Caenorhabditis elegans: one gene and its partners. The protein of the gene in region 3 interacts with the protein of the main gene of each other region in a pairwise test. Each region holds a gene or a part of one and is shown on either strand. Other genes may lie near its edges.

Region 1 (3,112 bases), on a different chromosome or scaffold from region 3:
TTAAATAGAAATTGTTTTTTTTTTAGAAAAAAATGTACTTTATCAAAAAAAAACTTTACAGTTTCATGTAGTTTTTGAATGTACATATTTACAACTAAGACGTTCTCAATACGAAGATTAAACTTTAAAAATATGTATTTTTTATAAATATACAATTTGAAATCATGAAAAATTAGATTTTTTTCACTTTTTTGTTTAGGACAACTGAGTGCCACAGGGTTCGCATAGGTTTGCATTTAAATAAAATTCTGGAAAAAACACTGAGACGTCACAGCATTGACATTCTGGTGCCATGTGAATGAGAAAATGAGTCAAATTTCAATTCTAACTTTAACTTAAATTTTGATAGAAATTTTTGTTTTTAAGAGAACATCGTATAGTAATAATAATAAAAAAACGTTCAAATTTAAAAACTAGATGAAACAGTGCCGTTTTTTTCCAAATTAAAAAAAAAGTAACTCCCGTAATAAATAAATTGGAAAATTATTTCATGACAAATACTATTTTGCGAAGAAAAATATAAATTTTATTCAAAAATGATTCAGAATAGAAAAATTTGAAAAGTGTCAAAAATAAATGTGGATTCGACAAAAACCCCAGAAATTTCCAGATAAAAATTAATTTAGAAACATAATGGTAATTATAGAAAATTAACAATAATTAAAAGTTATTAGGAATAAAACAAATTATGAAAGAATAAAGTTAAGAGAAGTCAGTGCTAGAGCTGGATGCAGATGCTCCAAAATTGTCAAGAAACTCCCGAGAAAGACCCGATGAAGGAGCAAACCATGAAGAAAACTGGGGCATCAGTGGATTTTGAGCTGGAGTTGGCTCAACAGCTCTGTGAATAAACTGACATTTTGTCCCATATTTGCAGTGTCCAGTTCTAGAGAAATTGTCACAGAGAACTGTCTTATACTTTGGGTGGTTGACTCCACGGTTCTGAAAAATTTAACACTTAAATTAAAACTTCATTGAGCTCAAAGTTTACCTTCTGTTTCAGCTGCAGCTCCTCGACACTGTGAGCAAATTTGCACTGCTCCCCGTATGAGCATGCTCGTGTGAGCTGAAACGTCTTGCAAAGAGCAGTTTTGAATGCATTTTCTTTTCTTTTCAATCGCATCATTTCTTCGTGGAGATCGTCAGGAATTGTGCATGAGTTTACTGTCTTCAAGAATGGTTGAAAATTCTGCGAGAAGCCATTTTCTTTCTGATCAAACAGTCTTGGAGAAGGTGGCTGCTGAGAGAGCCACTGAGCAACATTGTGCAATTTGGTAAAAGTTGGGACGTCAACGGCAAGTGGATTAGACATTTTGAGGGGTTTCTGAAAGTTAAACTGTTTTAGTTAACAAAAATCTCAGAAAAAACTTCTAACTCAATTTTTAATTGATCCTTAATAAGGCAAAATAGCATTCAAAGTAGAGATTTCAATAGACATACAAAATATACAGTGCAACAAAGAAAAGTTTTAGATACCGTTACAAGTCGGGCAAAAATGAAAAATATACAAAAAAAAACAATATTTTAGCGAAAAAATGAGAAAACGACCGCCCAGGATGACAGTTGTTTGCATGAATGACACAATTGTCATCCTGTCATCAGGCAACCTCTTGAACGCTGAAACTTTATCCAATCGATAGCTAGGTTAGGCTCCGCCCATTTACTGGTACATATCGTCTCCTTTTCACAGAGAGTGTGGCCTGTAAATGGGCGGAGCTTGCTATCGATTAGATGCTGTTGCAGCGTTCATTCTTTTTCCGGAAGATAGACTGCCAAATATGTCATTCACACATTTTACTCTCATCATGAGTGGTTGATCCTTTTTTGCTACTTTAATTTTTTAATAACTGTTGTTTTCTAAAATGTTATTTCTATGTTTTGTATTAGACAGAAAATATTATTCAATACACTATGACCACTATGTTTCATATAATACATGTTTGAAGCAGTAATTTTTTTGTTTTTTTTAAATATCTTTCTGAAACTCTGCTAGGATCCAGTTAGACGAAACCATTTTAATCTTTGACTTTCCACTTTTTCACTAATTTTTACTTCTTTTTAATCGTTCTACCAAATTCTTCTCTTGATATCGTTTTTCATTATTTTTTTCCAGAAACTACCCAAAACTTCTACAATGTCTGTTGAAGCAAGCAACCAAGAAAACTCTCTCTCCAGTTTCCTTCTGAAATGTGCTTTCCCAGCTGGAACTACCCCTCCATTGCTTTCTCCACCATCTTCATCAGGATCTTATGAAGAAGCCCAATTCTCACTTTTTGTGAATCAAAATGAAACTGAACAAAAATTGTTTTCTAATCAATCATTGGCCAACCGAGATCCCTGCACAATTCCAGATGAGCTTCACCAAGAAATGAAGAGTTTGAAAAAGAAAGAAGAAGCATTCAAGACATCCCTTTGTGGTTTTCACAGAAGAGGCCAAAAATGTGCTTATGGTGAAAAATGTAAATTTGCTCACAGTGTACATGAGCTCCGCTTCCCACAGACCAAAAGAAACCACCGTAACTATAAAACAGTACTTTGCAATAACTTCTCAACAACTGGGCATTGCAAGTACGGAATCAGGTGTCAGTTCATCCACAGATCTATGAACTCAACTTCTTCAAATCAATCAAATAAAATGGAAAATATTACCATTGACCTGAATGTTCAATCGGACGTTTTTCGTGCATTTGCTCTGGACTCAACAAGTTTATTGCCAAATTGGCATTGCTCAGCTCTTCTTCAATGAATTTTTTAATCCTGTTATCTTATATTAATTTTTAAATTCCCTAATGCTCAATATTTCCTCTATTTTTCCATATTTTTGGCAATTATCGTTTGTCATTTTCTATTATTTTACAAAGTAATAAAATTCTTTTCCTATCTGTGTTCTACCCATCTGTCTCAAAATTTTATAAAGGCTTTGAATCTGAAATATTTTTAAAAAATAAATTTTGACTTTTTTGTTTTCAAATTTGTAATTATACATATATTTGGAACACACAGTGTTTCGAAAATTTTAAAAAATCAATCTAAGTTTAGTTTTTGTATTAAAATGAAAACTATAGTTGGAAATGGTTAAGTAACCTTCAAATCATTAATCATATTAATGAAA
Region 2 (7,760 bases), on a different chromosome or scaffold from region 3:
AAATTGAAATTTTTTTTGAGCAAATTTTGAAGCCATTTTAACTTTGCCAATTTGCAAGCTATCAAAAAGTAGTTCACTAGTAAATTATAGAACTAAAATTTTACTACATTTTATTAGTTAAAAAGTTTCTGACAGCTGTTTTAGTTTTGGAGATACATGAGTTTTAAAATTGTAGATTTAAAAAATTTGAAAAACATTTTTCAAAATTTTCAAACCCCTGTAATTCTGAAACTATGAGACTTGTCAAAAAGTTGCCAACTAACAAAATTTAGCAAATTTCTTGTCAATTAATTTTTTAGTTGACAATTTTTTCTATGTTCATTTATTTTGAAGCTAGAGAGCCACAACTATATAGAATTTTATTTTTTTGAATCAATTTTCTCCAACTTTTCAAGTATTTTACGCATTATTCATACCTTAAAAGTGACATTTATTACGAAAAAGTGATAAGGGGGTACCCTATGGCAAACATGTACTCCTCCTCCTCACTCACGTTCCGTTTTTGCTCTCACTTTATTTGCTCTCTGTCTTTGCTTTTTCTTGTGTTTTTTTTTTGTGAATTTTGCTCCGTTTTCCGCTAGTTTTCCTTTTCGACTACCGAAAAAGAGCATTTTCGGTGATAAAAAATTACTTTGCAAAATTTTGCTAAACTAGAAAAAAACATTTTGTGAGGGAATTTTTTGCTGAAAAATATGAAGTTTCTTAAAACAAGAAAAGCTTTTAAAATCTATTAAAACTTTAAGTTTTTTTAAAAATCATTTTTAAATTTTATAAATATAAAATTATTTAATTTTTAACCACCTTTTCGAAACATTGATATCTTTAACTATTATCATATTTTCAACAAATTTTTCATATTTTGTTAAATTGTAAAAATAAAATTTAAAATATGATAATAGGAAAAGATTTCAACGTTTCAAAAATGTGGTTAAAAATGAAAATTAAAAAAAAATCTTAAATTTGTTTTACTGTTACATCTTTAAAAACTACAAAATTTATTTCAAAATTTATTTTTGAAAATTGTTTAAACTAAGCAAATTTAAAAAAGTTTTAAATCACTCCAACTTCAAAAAAAATTAAAAATTGTTGTGGTTTTTTTTATTTTTAGTTTGAACTTCCATATTTCAAAAACTACTGAATTAATTAAAAAGTTGTCAACTAACAAAATAAAGGAAATTTTTTGCTTAACATTTTGTAAATTGACAACTTTTTGATAACTTTTCACAAATTTGAGGTATGGTAGTTTTTTCTTTTATAACTTTTTATTGGTGGCAGCTATCAAAAAGTTGGCAACTAAAAAAATGGTGCAAATGTTATGCTTAACATTTTGATAGTTGACAATTTTTAAAAATCTTCAGTTTCCCAGAAGTTATGCCACTTTTTCTCTCCCCCCCCCCCTCCTCGAGTTCTTCCTTGTTTTCATCTATTTTCGGCCCTTTTTCCAAAATTCATTGGATTGATTCTTTCCAATGTTTTTCAATGTTTTTTTCATGGTGTTCGGTTTTAGGATTTTAATTGAAAACACACACCCTGGTGTCTATTTTGTCTATTTTCCCGAAAAAAAAATCCGAAAATAAAATTTTCCCCCTTCTTTCTGTCTCGACGCTCTATAAATTCAATTTCCCTCTTTTTTTCTCACTTTTTCTATTTTTTTTTCACTACTGTACAGCTCTTTAAACTGCGGTTATTTTTGGAAATTTCAGCTAATTTCAAGATTTTTTTTCAGTGTCATATTCTTCCCATGCGGAGCAAATTGTACAAAACATGAAAATTGAAGGTTGGTTTTGATTTTTTTAATTTAGAAAATGCTAATTTTAATTAAAAATACATATGTATGCTGGTTACTAAAAAAATTTCAAAAAAATTTTCCAATTTTCAAAAAAAAAATTTTTTCGAGATTTTTTCAAACTTTCATATCTCCAAAACTACGAGAGCTATTAAAATGTTGCCAACTATCAAAACATAGAAAATTGTGTGATAAACATTTTCATCGTTGACAAAATTTTGATAGCCTTGCTCTCCGCAGAGTTAGAGGAGCCTGAAGTTTGTTGGTACTGCGTTCAGGCTGACTGGAATCTTATAGGGTAACAACTATAGGTTTTAAGGTACTTTTACAGTAAAAATTAATAAAATATTGCTCTTTACAATGTCATAAGTAAAATTTAGAAAAAAACCACAATTTTGAACATTTGAAAGTTTTTGACCAAAAATGTTTTTTTTTCTCAAAAAACATATTTCTCCAAAATTTCTAAAATTTTGCTCACAATCAGACTTTAAATTTCATCCAAATCTATTCCAAACTCTCTAACTATGCCAATTGATGACGTAAACTCTAACCCAAGCTTCTGGGGTGGAAAAGTAATTAAATTTTAGTATTGTGGTGCACCCGCCTGGAAATTGGAAATTGGATGTGTTCCATGCTCCTCTAAGAGAAAAGAGGGCCGTAAAAATAAAAGTACAAATGTATTCCCAAAGGGTTTGTCTAAATTTGGAGGAGAAAAAAAAAATTTGTTCGAATCTCAAAATATAAAATTTCCAATTATAAATTAAAAATTTGCACTTTTGGATTAGTATATATTGAAAATTTCAGAGCCGTAGCTTAACTTTGCACTGAGTTATAAGGCTTCAAAGTATCTAGTTCAACCGCGACGCAACCGCGCCGCACCTACTTAACTTCAAAGCCCTGTAACTCAGCTCAAAATTGACCTACAGCTTTGAAATTTTTTCTCAGAGCTGATTTTAAATTAAGCTTTCATTATCGTTAGCAACCAATTCATTGGGCCGCGACGCAACCGCGTCGCTTCAACCAAATTTTGAAACTCCTTAACATATAGCAACCTTTCCCATTTTTCAGTGGTATCGGCACTACCGCACTCGACGGTCCATTCGGCAGTCCTTTCGCGTCGACACCGCTCCGTCATCTGCGCGGGACCATACGAAGTGCTTCCACTGGAGGGGTGTTCTGAGCCGGTAAGTGTTCTTTTTGTAGTCCAGGGCCATCTGCTTATAATGAGTGGGACCACATGTTGCGAGTCTCTTTCCAGAGCAATTATTCATTGTTTTGGGGCGTTTTTGGGGTCAGACGGATATAAAAGGATTATCCAGATTTTTAAAAAATCTTACATTGTTCACAGTTTGCAGTCAAACTTTGGAAAAAACCTAAATTACAGTGTCAAAAAATTTCAGAGCTCTCGGTCTTTTGAGAGCTAAGATATGAAGCTTTAGAATTTTGACCAGGCGTTGCGGTCGCGTCGCGGCCACCTCCTAAACTTTAAAGCTTGATAAATTTGCTCACCAAGGTCCTAAAGCTCTGACATTTTTGCAGAAGCCTCAAAATTACATGTACTATTCAAATATCTAGCTTTAAACTTTTTAAGCAACAAAAAAAATTTTCGGCCACCCATTTAATTTCCTCCTCTTCCGATCTTCCCCCACCCCGTATAATCCTCTTTGTACCTAACGAGCCGTCAATAATCCCCTCGGCACTTTCGCTGCTTATCGAACCGTAGTTGTCAATTTGAGAAGTGTTACTGTCTCTGCGTCTCGCCTCTCTAATAACAAGATTCTGCCCAGCGATAAGTTTTGATCCGGAATTCTCATGGGGATGCGAACATTGAAAAAGGGTGTGAAAGGGTTCCATATCTAGATGATTGATCTGCTGGGCAGGGAATTTGAAAAGTCTTTGGGAAGGGGGAGCTGGAAAATTTTCAATAGGTTCATAACTTGACAGGAAATGTTGAAAAGAATAGCTCTAGCCGATCTAAAACTTCAGAAAAAATTTCAGAGCTCTGGCACGCTTTGGAGCATAGTTATGGTGCATCGAAAATTGGCGCATGCGGCGCGGTCGCGTCGCGGTTATCTAACTTGGCTCAAAATGGTCCTAGAGCTCTGAAATTTTTTGAGTGACTCTGTTAAGTTTACCACATTCTAATTTTCTATAAAAGCTTGAAATGTACCTATTTATACAAAAACAAATTTTTCAGCTCCCAAGCACCTCAACTCTCAGTGAGCTACCCATCGAGTGCCTCCGACTCTCCACAGATGAACGGACGATCGGTGCGGCGACAAATGCGATTCTCAAAGTTGCGGATATTATAACAGGTCACGAGGTGCGGAATCTAACGGGACACACCTTGCCAATAACCTCCCTAGCCGCTAGCAAGTTCAACCCTTACTGCTGGTACACCGGGTCATCGGATTGTGATTGGACGCAGTGGGATACTAGGATGAATCCGTCTAAAGTGAGTTGAAAAGTGCAAAAATACTATCCAAAAAGTGTCCAAGCTTCAAATCCTCTGTGATACCGAGCCGCGACGCAACCGCGACGCGTGCCCAAATTTTTATCAAAAATGGCAGATAAATACTAGATAACACTATTGGCCAAATTTCACACCTCCGACTCAATTGTGAGCAAAGCTTTGACATTTTAAAAATTGAGGTAGACCGCGACGCGACACGCGACGCACTGCCGAAATTTTATGGCACCGTAACTTTGCTCCCAGTCGTCGTAGGATTTTGAAACTTTTTGTGAAAGCATTCTCTAGAAACAGACTTTTTTATAGACTTTCAACGCGCGTTGTAAAAGAAACTTTCTAATTTTGAAGATCGACCGCGACGCGACACGCGACGCACGCCCAAAACTTCAATACCACATAACTTAGCCCATAGTGGTCCAAATTTTCTGAAACTTTTTGTAATCACCATATCTGAAATAAAGCAGTTTTTTAAAGCGTTCCCAAATTTTCTGAAACTTTTCAAAATATAATGATTTTCAGATTTTCGGGTCCAAAACCCCTGGCGTTGTTCGAAGTATCGCATTATCACCTGGTGATCGCTATGTAGCAGTTGGCACCGACGAAACTATACAGATTTTCGACGCCAGGCAGCGGGAATTTATCAAAACTTTTAACTGTTCGGTAGGTGCTTTTCACTGGAATTTCTGACCATTTTTAAAAAATCAAATTTTGCAGGGTCACGCACTAGAGCTTCACCCCAGCGATGTGCTCCTCTCCTCCGTTGGTCATGATAGGATAGTTCGGTTTTTCTGCCTAGAGACTTTTGAAATGATATCTCAATCCGATCCGTTTCTGGATGATATTCAAGCCAGCGCTTTTGATAGTAAGAATTATATTTAATTTTGGGCCAAAAACATCAAAAAATTGAATTTCAGCCCACGTCATGATAGCTGCTACCAATGATTCTATCAACCTGCTCACTTGGGAGCCCTGCTGTGATATTCTAACGACAGTACCTCTGAAAAATGTGGAGAAGGTAGGGATAGTAACTTGACAACACTTTTGGCTCACTGAAAAATGTGAGCAAAAAGTGTTGTCAGTGTGTGCTCTAGTATTAAAGATCCTGTAACTTGCGTACCAGTTGACGTAGAGTCTTCAAATTTTTAGACGACACTTGTAAGCTTTCACCCACGCGTTGCGGTTGCGTCGCGGCTTGGCCATCAAATTTCTTAGCTCTGTAACTTAGCCAACTAGTAGTCCTATAGACTTGAAACTTAGTCAAAAAGTCACATCGGAAAGCAAATTCCTATCTTATTTTCATGAATCCAAATTTCTAAAAATGTTCATTTTAAGGCATTAACCCAACATTTCAACGCCAGTTATGATTGATTATTTTTTGGCGGAGATTCCAATCTTCTTCCCTTTGTTATGAATTCCATGCCATTTCAGGTCGTCAACGTGAATGCAAACGGTCTGGATTTAGACTTTATTTGCATTGGAGACAACACTGAACGTCTCGAAATGCGCACCTACGCTATAGAAGAGCTGCTCTCCTATTCGCCGAGCCACGAGCTCTGCGGGAGCATTTACGAGGAGGATGAGGATGTGGATAACTCGCCGATTGATGAGGTATTAGCTTTGGGTTTGTACTTGGGGTTAATGTAGGAATTTTCCAGGTAAAAGCGCTACCGGAGCTCACAGAGTTATCGAATTTGCCGCCGAGGTCGCCTGGCTTGTCATGTGAAGAGACGGAGACGTCAGCGTCACCTGTGAATAGTAGCAGCAGCCATTCTAGCCCGACTAGTCCCGTTAAGGTAAGAATAAATTTTTGTCAGAGGCCCATATCTTAAGTACGGACTGCTTCTGGGCCAGTTTAAAAGGCTTCCGAGTCTCATTTTATTGGCCTAAAAACTCGTAAGCTGTCTCAAGTCGTTAGTCTCAATTGCAATTTTCCAGTTTTAGACCAAAGTCTGTATCTAAGTTCAATCCCCTCAATCTTCCTCACAAGACAGTCTTTGAGCTTTGTAAAACCTAAAAGAGCTCTCCATATATTTTCAAACCCTCTAGGGAGTTCCCTCTCCCCTGCTCCAACAGCCGCAGCTTGACATCCAACCTCTTAAATCTTACAGCCAGCTCCCGTCAAACACCGATCGGCATCTCAGAAGCTTCCTGGAAAATCGACCAAGACCCTGAACCCAAAACCAGCGGGGTCCACACGCTCTGTGACCCCAGTCTCCACAAAGCCACCTCGAACATTTGGCACCGCAAAGAGTGTGATTGTCTCGTCGAAGCCATCACTAAGCGGGTACAATAACCGCGCGAATCCGTCGCCTTCTATGTCGGATTTGAGGACGACAAAGTCGATGGCAGGGTCTACGACGTCTTTGTTGAGTGAGAGGGCTCCGAAGAAGCGGTCAACGTCGAGCCGGTAAGCAGGACTAGAGGAAGTAAAGTTTCAAAACTCTAAAACTTTCCAATTTTCCAGCCGTAACCAAGAGCCCATCACCATCACCTACATTGGCCGCCCACGTACCCCTAGCGAAGGAGACGTCGCATCTACAGTATCCTCCTCCACATCCCGCAACCGTCGCCCATCGCCTTCCGTGGCGAAGAAGACCTCCCCTCCGTCAATCTACGCGATCACCTCTTCCCCGGCCAAGCGTGCCTCCTCCACCGCTTCAGGGCCTACTGCCAGACGCCAGAATTCCACGTCATCGGTGACCTCTACCACGTCGGCCAAGACGCCTGTAGGGGTCTGGGGAGCTTGTATAGAAACTGTACATGACATCGGGATAGTTGCGAAGAAGGAGAATAGAAGTGAGTTATTTAGGATCTAGCTTGAAGCGTTAACTACTGGAATTCAGACATCCGACGGCTCAAGATGCTTACCTCCCGTCGAACGAGCAACGTGGATATCCCTCCAGAAGTGTGCTCCGATGAGCAACTAGTGTTAACCGCCACGAGGATACTGAGCAGGAGGAACGATTGGTCATTGAACAGCTGTCATGCCTACCTTCCAGTCATAATAGGTAATCTTGCTTGGTAGTGAAGGTCGTAATGATGTTTTGAACTTTCAGACAACATAGCCAGTGTAGACGTTACAAATCGAGCTATAGCCCTGGAGGGTCTCGCAGCGATCGCTGACACCCTGGGGGAGAGGCTCGTGAAGTTTGCGTCCATGAACTCCCATAGGATAGGAGTAGATGTGGCGGCGGAGGAGAGGGCCGAGAAGGCGAAGGCATGTGTTCAGGTAGGCATCTTGTAGGGGTTTTGCCCTTATTAACCCTACAAATAATTCCAGCACCTCCGCTCCCTGGTCAAAAAACGCGACTGGTACTACAAACAACTCGACGAGCCATCCATTCTCAAACTCGACCCGATTCTAGAGCTTTTAAAGAAGATCTAGCTACCTCATCTGTGATATATTGTTAAGCATTCCCACCACCACTCGCATTTTTGTTCTTTTGTCTTGTCTTTCAGTCATTTGGGTCAGAGATTTTCAGGTTTCTCTACGAATTCCCTCTT
Region 3 (5,888 bases):
AGTCTGTGTCATCACACAGACGTCTCAGAATATATATATGCTCCATCTTGTTTTATAGTTATTGATTTACTGCAATCAAAATATTTTATTTTCAGATATCACAATTCCAACGACGGCTGGAAGCAGTGCGGCAACAACTCCGAACGCTGCAATGCATCTTCCGTGGGCAATCTCACATGACGGGAAGAAGAAGCGACAACCGTACAAGAAAGATCAGATATCAAGACTTGAGTACGAGTATTCTGTCAATCAATATCTCACGAATAAGCGGAGATCAGAACTCTCTGCACAATTGATGCTTGATGAGAAGCAGGTCAAGGTCTGGTTCCAGGTATGTTATAGGCAGTATTCAGCGGAAAGTCTAGAGATCATAAATGTGAATTTTTATCTAATGTCCTAATGAAAAAAATTCCAGAAATTTTGGTAAATTCCCAAATTTCCTCATTTTTAAAAATTAATTTTGAGCTTCTCTGGATTTTCAAAAAACGAACATCTGAAAAATACTAAATTTCAATATTTTGAACATTTACAAGGTTTGGGCACTAATAATTGAAAAAATACAATATTTAGCGCCAGCCAAAACGAACTCGAAAAAATTGAAAAATTTTTTAAAATTTCCAGAAAAGTTTTGGCAAAATGCCAAATATTTAAACCTGTTCCGACCTCTAGAATGTTTTATAGGAATTTTTTTGGCAGACTTCCAAAATTATGACTTTCAAAAACTGAGTAATTGTCACTTTTCAAACTTGTCAAACTTGTCAAAATTTTCAAAATTTTTTTGGAAAAGTTTTGCTATCATTTTGGCACCACTGGAGTAGTTTTTAACAATTTCCTCACTGGCGCTAATCCATCAATAACCATACTTTAAAAGTTAAAAATTACTTTTCAGCACGTGGTGTCAGAGTATCCCATTTCGGATTGATCTACGTTGATCTACAAAAAATGCGGGATAAGAGGCGCAGAGTTCACAACTGATTTCACATGGTTAAGAACGTGCTGACGTCACCTTTTTTTAGGAAGAAATTCCCGCATTTTTGTAGATCACACCGTAATGGGACAGCCTGGCACCACTTTTTGTAGCCACACTTTTTTGAACTAAAGTAACATTCGTAATTAATTATCAGAGTGCAAATAAATAAGTTGGACATTTGTGAATTCACGTAAAAATGGAAATGTGCAAAAAGGAGGCAAAAGGTGAGCAGGTTTCAGGCAGGCATCAGGCCTTGAAACCGCATCTGCCTACCATGAGAAATAATTGAAAACTTTAGAAACCTGAAACCGCGCCTGAACATTGTCAAAAACCGTAAATATGTTGTTTTGTCTAAACTCCAACCATTTTAACATTGCATGAATTGTTTTGCTTTCTCTTAACTTCACTGTTTCAGAATCGACGAATGAAGGACAAGAAACTGCGTCAACGACATTCCGGGCCATTCCCCCACGGTGCTCCAGTCACTCCGTGCATCGAGCGATTGATCAACTGATTTTCTCTATTTACACAAAGTGTTCTAACTAATGATTTTTTTCTGATTCTTATTCATTATTCAATTTGCTCTCTTCTCTCTCAATTTCATAATTTTTGTCCCAAATCTCGTTTGCACAGGGTTGTGTTTTTAGCCCATTCTTCGTTCTCTCCAACCGGTACCTAGACACCGTTCACTATATTTTTTCCCTTATTGTTTGTCGTCCTCTTTGACTCTTTTTTCGATTCAAGTTCAACTTTCTTTTTCCTTTTTCATGATTTAATAACTCTTTTTTTTCAATTGGCAAGGCACCCATAAAGTTGTTTCGTTTTTCTCTGTACGTGTATGTCTGTCAGTGTATCCTGTACTTCCTGTACTACTTGCTCCTCCGTCGAGCCGATGTTCGTTCTCTACCCCCCAGCAATGCCACAGAGAAAAGCACCACTTTTGGGTCTTTGCCAAACCTGTTTTTGTTTTCCGCTAACAACCTCGTTTTACCCCCGACCTTACCACTTTTCTTTAGTATCTCTCCCCGCTGAAACCCCAAAAATAGTGCTTTTCTTGCAGGCTTGCTCACGGTAGACAACGCCCGAACATCAGCGAGCTCCCGTCATCATCCTAATGATTTCGGTGATGCAACAGATGATGAACAATTCTAATATGCCACCCCCATTTGTGAAGAGCTCTGATTCTCATGAAACTCATGATGAATCACCGACGTCTCCGTTCATTAAACGTTCGGATTCTCCTGCAACAACGTCTTCGGCGGCAGCAGCAGCAATGCAACACAACTTTTGGTCGACAAGAGCTGCACAACTGCAGCAATCTGTATCTGGATCATCTGGTGTTTCTAGTGGTTCCAGCAGTTCTGCATCGAACAATTTATCAAGGACACAAGCGGACAATCATTCGGAACGAGGATCCGACACTGCTTCCAGTCCTCAGGTTGCACCACTCCCAACGAGGTTTGTTAAGTATTTTAAATATCGCGGTCAAGTGGAAACTTTTTAATTTTAACTAGAATACAAATTTGACAATTACCACAACTTCGGCAATAGATAGCCAAATTTTTGCCCATTTCCATAAGCATGAAGTTCCTAAACGCCTAATTTTCTTTCGGCAACTTCAGCGGCCGGCCCCGAAAAATTTCGAATTATAAATAGCCTTGATAATCAGGGGTGGGCGGCAAACGATTTTTTACGGCAAATCGGCAAATTGCCGGAATCAAAAATTTCCGGCAAATCGGCAAATTGCCGGAATTGAAAACTTCAGGCAAATAGGCAAACCGGCAAATTGTGGTTTTGCAATTTTTTTTTCGAAAATTCAGAGTTTCAATTTTAATGGGCAAAATTTTACGCATTCTATGAATGCTCCTACATTTATTTTGAAAATCAAAAAAGCCGGCCACTCGGCAAATTGGCAAATTGTCAGAATCAAAAAATTCCGGCAAATTGGCGAAATTGTAACTTTCGGCCTATCGGCAAACCGGCAAATTGTGGTTTTGCACATTTTTTTTGGAAATTTCAAAAGTTCAATTTTAATGGGCAAAATTTTACGCATTCTATGAATGCTCCTACATTTAATTTGAAAATCGAAAAAGCCGGCCACTCGGCAAATTGGCAAACCGGCAATTTGCCAATTTGCCGATTGCACAAAAATTGCCGAAATTTTTTCGAAAAATTGGAAGCTCGGCAACTTTTAGGCTGCCAGTTGTCGATAGTTGCCGATAGTTTTCAGAAGTTATTGAACTTTCTGAAAATTTGTTAAACAGTGTCAACATTTGTCGAAAGTGGTCGATAGCTGCGGATAGTTTTCAAAAAATGCCAAAAATTGCCAAAAATTGCCGATAGTTACCGAAAATTATTGATTTGTTTTGAAAAGTAGCCAAAATTTGCCGAAAGTTGTTTTTTTTTAATTTTAAGATATACAAAAAATACCCCGACATTATAAATTTCATATTCTTAATTCAATAAGTACACGTAGTGCCAGACTGTCCCATTACGGTTTGATCTAGAAAAAATGCGTGATTTTTTTTGCCCAAAAAATGTGACGTCAGCACGTTCTTAACCATGCAAAATCAGTTGAGAACTCTGCCGCATTTTTTGTAGATCTACGTAGATCAAGCCGAAATGAGACACTGTGACACCAAGTATGTGTTCTCAACACAAAAACCAATAAAATCAATTTCAGCAGTGGTATGTCAATGCCAGCAGCGGCTGCAGCCGGAATGTACCCATTCAATGCTGGTCGATTTCCAACAGAGTTTAATATGATGGTTAATCAATCAATGTACAATGATTTCTATTCAAATAGTCTTGCTGCATCTTCTTGGCCATACTCTTATCCACAACAATATCCGTTTGCAAACTACTCAATGCCAAGTTTAGATGGAAATTTGAATGGTTTGTTAAAGTTTTTAAGCTTTTGAAGTTTTTTTGAAAATTTTTATTTCAGACGGTGGTCAACTAGAATGGACGTCCTCTTCACACGCAATGCGTAAAAAGAGGAAGCCGTATACGAAAGCGCAGACATTGGAGTTGGAAAAAGAGTTTTTGTACAATACCTACGTCAGTAAGCAGAAGCGGTGGGAACTTGCAAAGTACTTGCATTTGACTGAGCGACAAGTCAAAATTTGGTTCCAAGTGAGTATTTTTGGCTTCCATGGTAGGCAGGCGCGGCTTCGGGGCCTGCCTGAAACCTGACCGCCTCTTTTTTGCATTTTGACGTGAATTTTCAAATTTCAAATGTGATGAAAATAAAATTAATAGATGAAAAAGCGCAGATTGAGGCGATAGGCAGGCGAAGGTCGCCTTGAGGCCAGGCAGGCAGGCAGGCTACACGGATGCCCTACTTATTATTAAGATGTTTCATTCCAAATGGACAATTTGATTCAATAATCGTATAACTGCGTGTATCAGAAATTCTGCATCTATTGATTACTAAGAAAACACTAGATTCCGAGGATGCGTTTTGCGCAAAATATCTCGTAGCGAAAACTACAGTAATACGGGCTCGAGTTTTAAAATGGATTATTAATTTATCGATAGAATATTATTATTAAACAAAAGAAACAAATTAATATAGCTCACGTGGTGCCAGGCTGACCCATGACGGTTTGATCTACAAAAAATGCGGGAATTTTTTGCCCTAAAAATGTGACGTTTGAACGTTCTTAACCATGTAAAATCAGTTGAGAACTCTGCCGCATTTTTTGTAGATCAACGTAGATCAATCCGAAATGGGACACTCTGACTCCACGTGATAGCTGTCACAATTCAAAAAAAAAGTTAGTTTCGAAAATTGAGCTCGTAAGTCGACACTACAGTAGTCATTTAAAGAGTAGTTTTCGCTATGAGATATTTTGCGCGTCAAATATGTTGTGCAATACGCATTTTCAGAATTTTGACTTCCAGTAATATTTATATTATTTTCAGAACCGACGAATGAAAGATAAGAAGCAAAAGCAACGAACATCTGGAGATCCAACTGGAATGCTGATGCCACCTGGATTGGATTAACTCGAAATACTTTATTGTAATTGCCCCACCTCACGCGGTGCCTTTCTGTCCCATTACGGTTTGATCTACAAAAAATGCGGGAATTTTTCGCCCAAAAAATGTGACGTCAGCACGTTCTTAACCATACGAAATCAGTTGAGAATTCTGCCGCATTTTTTGTAGATCTAAGTAGATCAAACCGACATGTGACACTCTGACACCACGTGCCACCTGGGTCTAAATTTGCCAAAAACCATACCAACTTGAAATGTTTCCTGAAAAGTTTTCTGTTTCCTTTTAGGTGAATATTGAACTTCTTTTTTTTTCTTCCATCTCTCTCTCTCAACCTTAGCTCAAATGTTCTACTTCATTATATCACCACCATTGATCCGCATTTAATAAATTCAATTTACCGGTACAAACTACTTTACTCTCCTCAATATATTCCCTCAATAATCTTTTTTTTAATTTTAACTTTTTTTTGTATCGGATTTTCTGAAAAAACAAATTTTTTAAACAGTTTTTTTGAATCTTTCAAAAGTTAGATTGTGTTTCGCCATTTACACGGATTTCTGGCTTCCCTCATAAATTGAAATGGAAGAGTTTGCCGAACTAGGCCATTATGGCTCGGCCACATCTGGGGTAGATTTACGGTGCGTTGCGTGTCGCGTCGCGGCTCGATTGTAAAACTAAATGTAATTGTCCGTGTGGAGTACACGACACTTTTCCACGCGTTGTCCGACAGGCGATTGTCAATGGAGCGCGAAAAATTCAATGAGGAAGGCCAGAACCCCGTGGTGGACCTAAATTTTCACAAATTTTGAACAAAATGGGCCTAAATATTCACAAATTTTGAGCAAAATGGGCCTAAATTTTCACAAATTTTGAGCAAAATGGGCCTGAATTTTCACAAATTTTGAACAAAATG
Region 4 (3,659 bases), on a different chromosome or scaffold from region 3:
TTAAACTCACTTGGTTTGACAGCTGCCCATTCCTCTATTGAAATTCTATGATCCTCAAAGCTTTGTCCAGCATATACAAATATCTGTCGAATAACCTCTCCAGCTCCACGGATGGGGAAATATGATAGCTTGTAGTGGACCATTATTACTACCACTTTTCAAGTAATTGGGGAGTACAAGTCTGTGATACAGTTTGAAATAAAAACCAAGAAGTTTCTATTTATACTCATATTCTCTAAGTGTGTGTGTACTGTTAAGTCATCACTGCTTTGATCGCACTCTGCTGACAACAAACCACAAATATAGTTTGGCGTTATGTCTGTTTCAATGAACTGGTTGAATTAGATAAATGTACATTAAAATAAAGAGTATATTGGAAACTTTAAAGTTTGTCATCATTTACTCTTCCCACTGCGCAGATGTTACTGACAACTCAGTTCAAAAAGTGCCTTTTCATGATGATTCGGATGTCTGAACAAATATATCGGTTGCTTCTGCTATCTTATTTTTTAGAGAACTTTTCAGAATAAATAGATTTCAATGCAATCATTTATCCCATATCAATACAAAAATACATAAAGAGACCATGTGAATTTGGAAATCATTTAGAATGGAGTAACTGGACGAGTCTCCAACCACTTCTTGATGTTGGCATTCGAGTGAACCTTTTCCTGATGAGCCTTGAATTGTGGGAATTCATCGAGAAGAGCTGCGTTGGCAGCCAGAAGATCAGCAGTGTGCTGAGCGACGAGCAAGTCGACAAAGGTCAAAGAGTCTCCAACCAAGTATCCGGATCCAGCCGACTTGAGGAAGTTAGCAAAGAATCCATAGTGCTTCTTGAATCCTGGAAGGAAGACGTCCTTGGCAAGAGCATCGAGATCTCCTTCAGCAAATCCCATCTTCACCATGAAGTATGGACGAACTTCGTTGAGGTAATCCTTGAATTGATCAGCAACCGAGTTGACTTGAGCCTCCTCCCATGCACACTTTCCATTGATTCCGAACTGACGAGCCAAGTAACGGGCGATAGCATGAGATTGGGCAAGAACCTTTCCGTCAACTTCAAGGAGTGGAAGCTGTCCGAATGGAGTGCCTGAAAAATAATATAATTAAAACCTAAAGTTCAAAGTTTTCTTTGAGTAAACAATCATTGACTCCAAACTTCTATCTCTCAGTCATACCAAGCACTTTGTTTACATCTCTAGGTGTCAAACTGCCTAGAGTTTAGCCTTGAATTTTTTTTTCCTTTTTCAAGGTCTATTCATTCGAACACCGAAATTTCAATAACTTTCAAAAAGTAACTCAATAACAACTTCAATCTACTCTAAAGGCAAAAAGGCAATTTGTGTGACCTAGTTAATAGGAACAGGAAAGGTAAGGAATATACCGTACCTGCTACTTTAACGGCTTACATCTCGGTTCTCTTAACTTTTATCAAAAAATGTTTAACTGACAATATTTAAAAGTATATTCTTCACGTATTTTGTCAGTCAAAATTTTTTTGATAAAACCAAAGACAGCTTAACTAAAAGCCTGCAACTATTTCTAAAATGAATTTTTAATTTGGAACTACTTATAAGATTTCAACTAACAATTTCAATATCTATGCACCTATTCAAACAATAATTTTCAATCCCAAACTCACTTGGCTTGACAGCTGGCCATTCCTCCTTTGGGATTCTGTTGTCCTCGAAGTCTTGTCCAGCGTAGGCCAAGATCTGACGAGCAATCTCTCCAGCTCCACGAATTGGGAAGTACGATACCTTGTAGTGGACCATTGTTGAAATAACCAAGCAAGAAATCGAGTGGTCGATGAGAAGGGTTGAACACTGAATGCCGGCCGTCTCTATTTATACCCATTTCTCAAATGTCTGTCGTCTCTCCACTCACCATATTCTGTAGTTTGTCATCATTTGCTCTACACATTGCGCGCACGTTGTTGACTAGAAATCATAAAGTGTAGTCATCGTTTTTTGTTGTTGCAATGTTACGATGAACAGAGTAGGTCAAAATAATATTGGTTGAAAAAAATATATGCAAGGTTTTGTGACTTTTCCAGATCTTTCGAAGGGAATGTTGTGTCACAATTTGTGACTACTCACAAATATAAACCCATGGCATCAATCATCTTGTTACGCTTGCCATTATTATTGAAGATACCATGATAAGAAACTACTATAACTGACACAAAAAGTCACAAAAAATATTTTTTTTTGTTTCTGAAATTTTTCCGACAGTACAACACAATTTCATAATCTCGCGCAAAAGAGGCGTAGGCATTTACCGCAGCCTACGTGCCTGCCTACAGCCTAATTTCTGGGAAGGTGCCTGATGAACAATGATTTCCTATGGAATTTGTCTTTGAAATAATTTAAGTCTCACTTTGAAACACAAACGTGCTTTCTTTTGAGGGTTATACACCTGCCTTTGAAAAGACTATCCTCCAAAAATAAATAAAAGATTACATATTTATTGTGCCCACCGAAATTTGAAAATTCTTATTATGTTCATGTTCCAGAAAACGACGCTTTTGTAATTTTTGACAATAAAAGTCAAATTAACATTATGACGTGATTGGTTTTGTGCTTTGAACATTGTGTCTCACCAGGGAATGTTCGGAAAGTTTTAGCTATGATGGTAAACCACAAAGGAAGGCGGTGTAGGTCTGATTTGTACCTAAAAGCATGCCTACTTCCCAGGCTTTTGTAAATATCCTGTATATTTCAACACTCTTGCAATGCAAAAAGCTTCTATAGAAACATCCTGCTGAAAACTTTACCATAAAATTTTTAAAAGAACAATTCATTCAAGATATTTTAGAAACATCGATTTCCATTAAAACAAATTAGCAAAAAATTGCTTCTTGAAATATGAATTAAAAAATAATACAAAATTGCAAACTCATTTCAATTTAGAATGGGTAATCTGGACGGTTTGCAATATACTTCTGAATTCTGTCGATGCTCTGAACCTTCTTACGATGTGCCAAAACCTTCTTGAACTCCTCAACAACTGCCAAATCTTTATCCAAAATATCTTGAACGTGCTGCGAAATCAAAAGATCCACCCATGTCAAAGAGTTTCCAACAAAGAAACCACTGTGATTAGATGCCAGAATGTTCTCGAAAAACTCGAAATTCTTTTTGAAAGCTGGAACAAAAACATCAGTTCTCAGTTGATCCTTGTCTCCAGGTTTGAATCCAGCAAGAACTGTTAAATATGGGGAGACATCGTTGAGATAATCCTTGAATTGATCAGCAATTGCATCCACTTCTGCCGCCTCGGTGTCATTTTGTCCAGCAATTCCGAACTCTCTGGCCAAGTACCGAGCAATTGCATATGACTGTCCCAATGGTTTTCCATCGACTTCCAAAATTGGCAATTGACCGAATGGAGTGTCTAGAAATTTGAAATTTGAGGAGAAGTGTTTTAAAATAAAATCTAATCTTAATTTTAAAAAAGTATGAAGGTCTTAGAAAATTTTTCGGATTAGTTCGATCTCCAGGAGCGACTTTTCCACAGTGTCCAAGATGTTGTCAGAAAGCACAATTCCATAAAAAGTTTCAAGCATCAAGTTTTCCTCGTACCTACAACCTTTTTTCTGAACTTCTGACTGATCACCCTAAATCAGGAAATAAAAAAAACAATCAGAAGCATAA

The links.
Region 1: the proteins of php-3 (region 3) and ccch-2 interact in a two-hybrid assay, tested with the Caenorhabditis elegans proteins (one large-scale study listed by BioGRID).
Region 2: the proteins of php-3 (region 3) and F47G4.4 interact in a two-hybrid assay, tested with the Caenorhabditis elegans proteins (one large-scale study listed by BioGRID).
Region 4: the proteins of php-3 (region 3) and gst-7 interact in a two-hybrid assay, tested with the Caenorhabditis elegans proteins (one large-scale study listed by BioGRID).

What each region holds. Positions count from the first base shown.
Region 1 is NC_003282.8:16,276,414-16,279,525, reverse strand, and holds ccch-2 (C3H1-type domain-containing protein), read right to left. Parts: upstream 1,325-3,112; 5' UTR 1,313-1,324; coding exon 992-1,312; intron 943-991; coding exon 703-942; 3' UTR 516-702; downstream 1-515. Other genes in the region: F38C2.7 (C3H1-type domain-containing protein), read left to right, coding at 2,135-2,746.
Region 2 is NC_003279.8:14,062,770-14,070,529, reverse strand, and holds the start of F47G4.4 (WD_REPEATS_REGION domain-containing protein), read left to right. Parts: upstream 1-1,726; 5' UTR 1,727-1,764; coding exon 1,765-1,777; intron 1,778-2,854; coding exon 2,855-2,970; intron 2,971-3,983; coding exon 3,984-4,241; intron 4,242-4,775; coding exon 4,776-4,916; intron 4,917-4,970; coding exon 4,971-5,118; intron 5,119-5,170; coding exon 5,171-5,271; intron 5,272-5,684; coding exon 5,685-5,864; intron 5,865-5,911; coding exon 5,912-6,049; intron 6,050-6,364; coding exon 6,365-6,663; intron 6,664-6,720; coding exon 6,721-7,052; intron 7,053-7,099; coding exon 7,100-7,264; intron 7,265-7,312; coding exon 7,313-7,485; intron 7,486-7,536; coding exon 7,537-7,641; 3' UTR 7,642-7,760.
Region 3 is NC_003281.10:12,073,699-12,079,586, reverse strand, and holds php-3 (Homeobox protein php-3), read left to right. Parts: upstream 1-2,030; 5' UTR 2,031-2,084; coding exon 2,085-2,428; intron 2,429-3,653; coding exon 3,654-3,865; intron 3,866-3,917; coding exon 3,918-4,105; intron 4,106-4,897; coding exon 4,898-4,981; 3' UTR 4,982-5,369; downstream 5,370-5,888. Other genes in the region: Homeobox protein nob-1, read left to right, coding at 96-331, 1,386-1,484. UniProt on the Caenorhabditis elegans protein: Probable transcription factor, involved in posterior embryonic patterning, morphogenetic movements of the posterior hypodermis, and cell fate specification. May regulate expression of transcription factor dmd-3.
Region 4 is NC_003280.10:4,880,238-4,883,896, reverse strand, and holds gst-7 (putative glutathione S-transferase 7), read right to left. Parts: upstream 1,806-3,659; 5' UTR 1,779-1,805; coding exon 1,646-1,778; intron 1,094-1,645; coding exon 606-1,093; 3' UTR 539-605; downstream 1-538. Other genes in the region: gst-8 (putative glutathione S-transferase 8), read right to left, coding at 11-143; gst-6 (putative glutathione S-transferase 6), read right to left, coding at 2,912-3,399.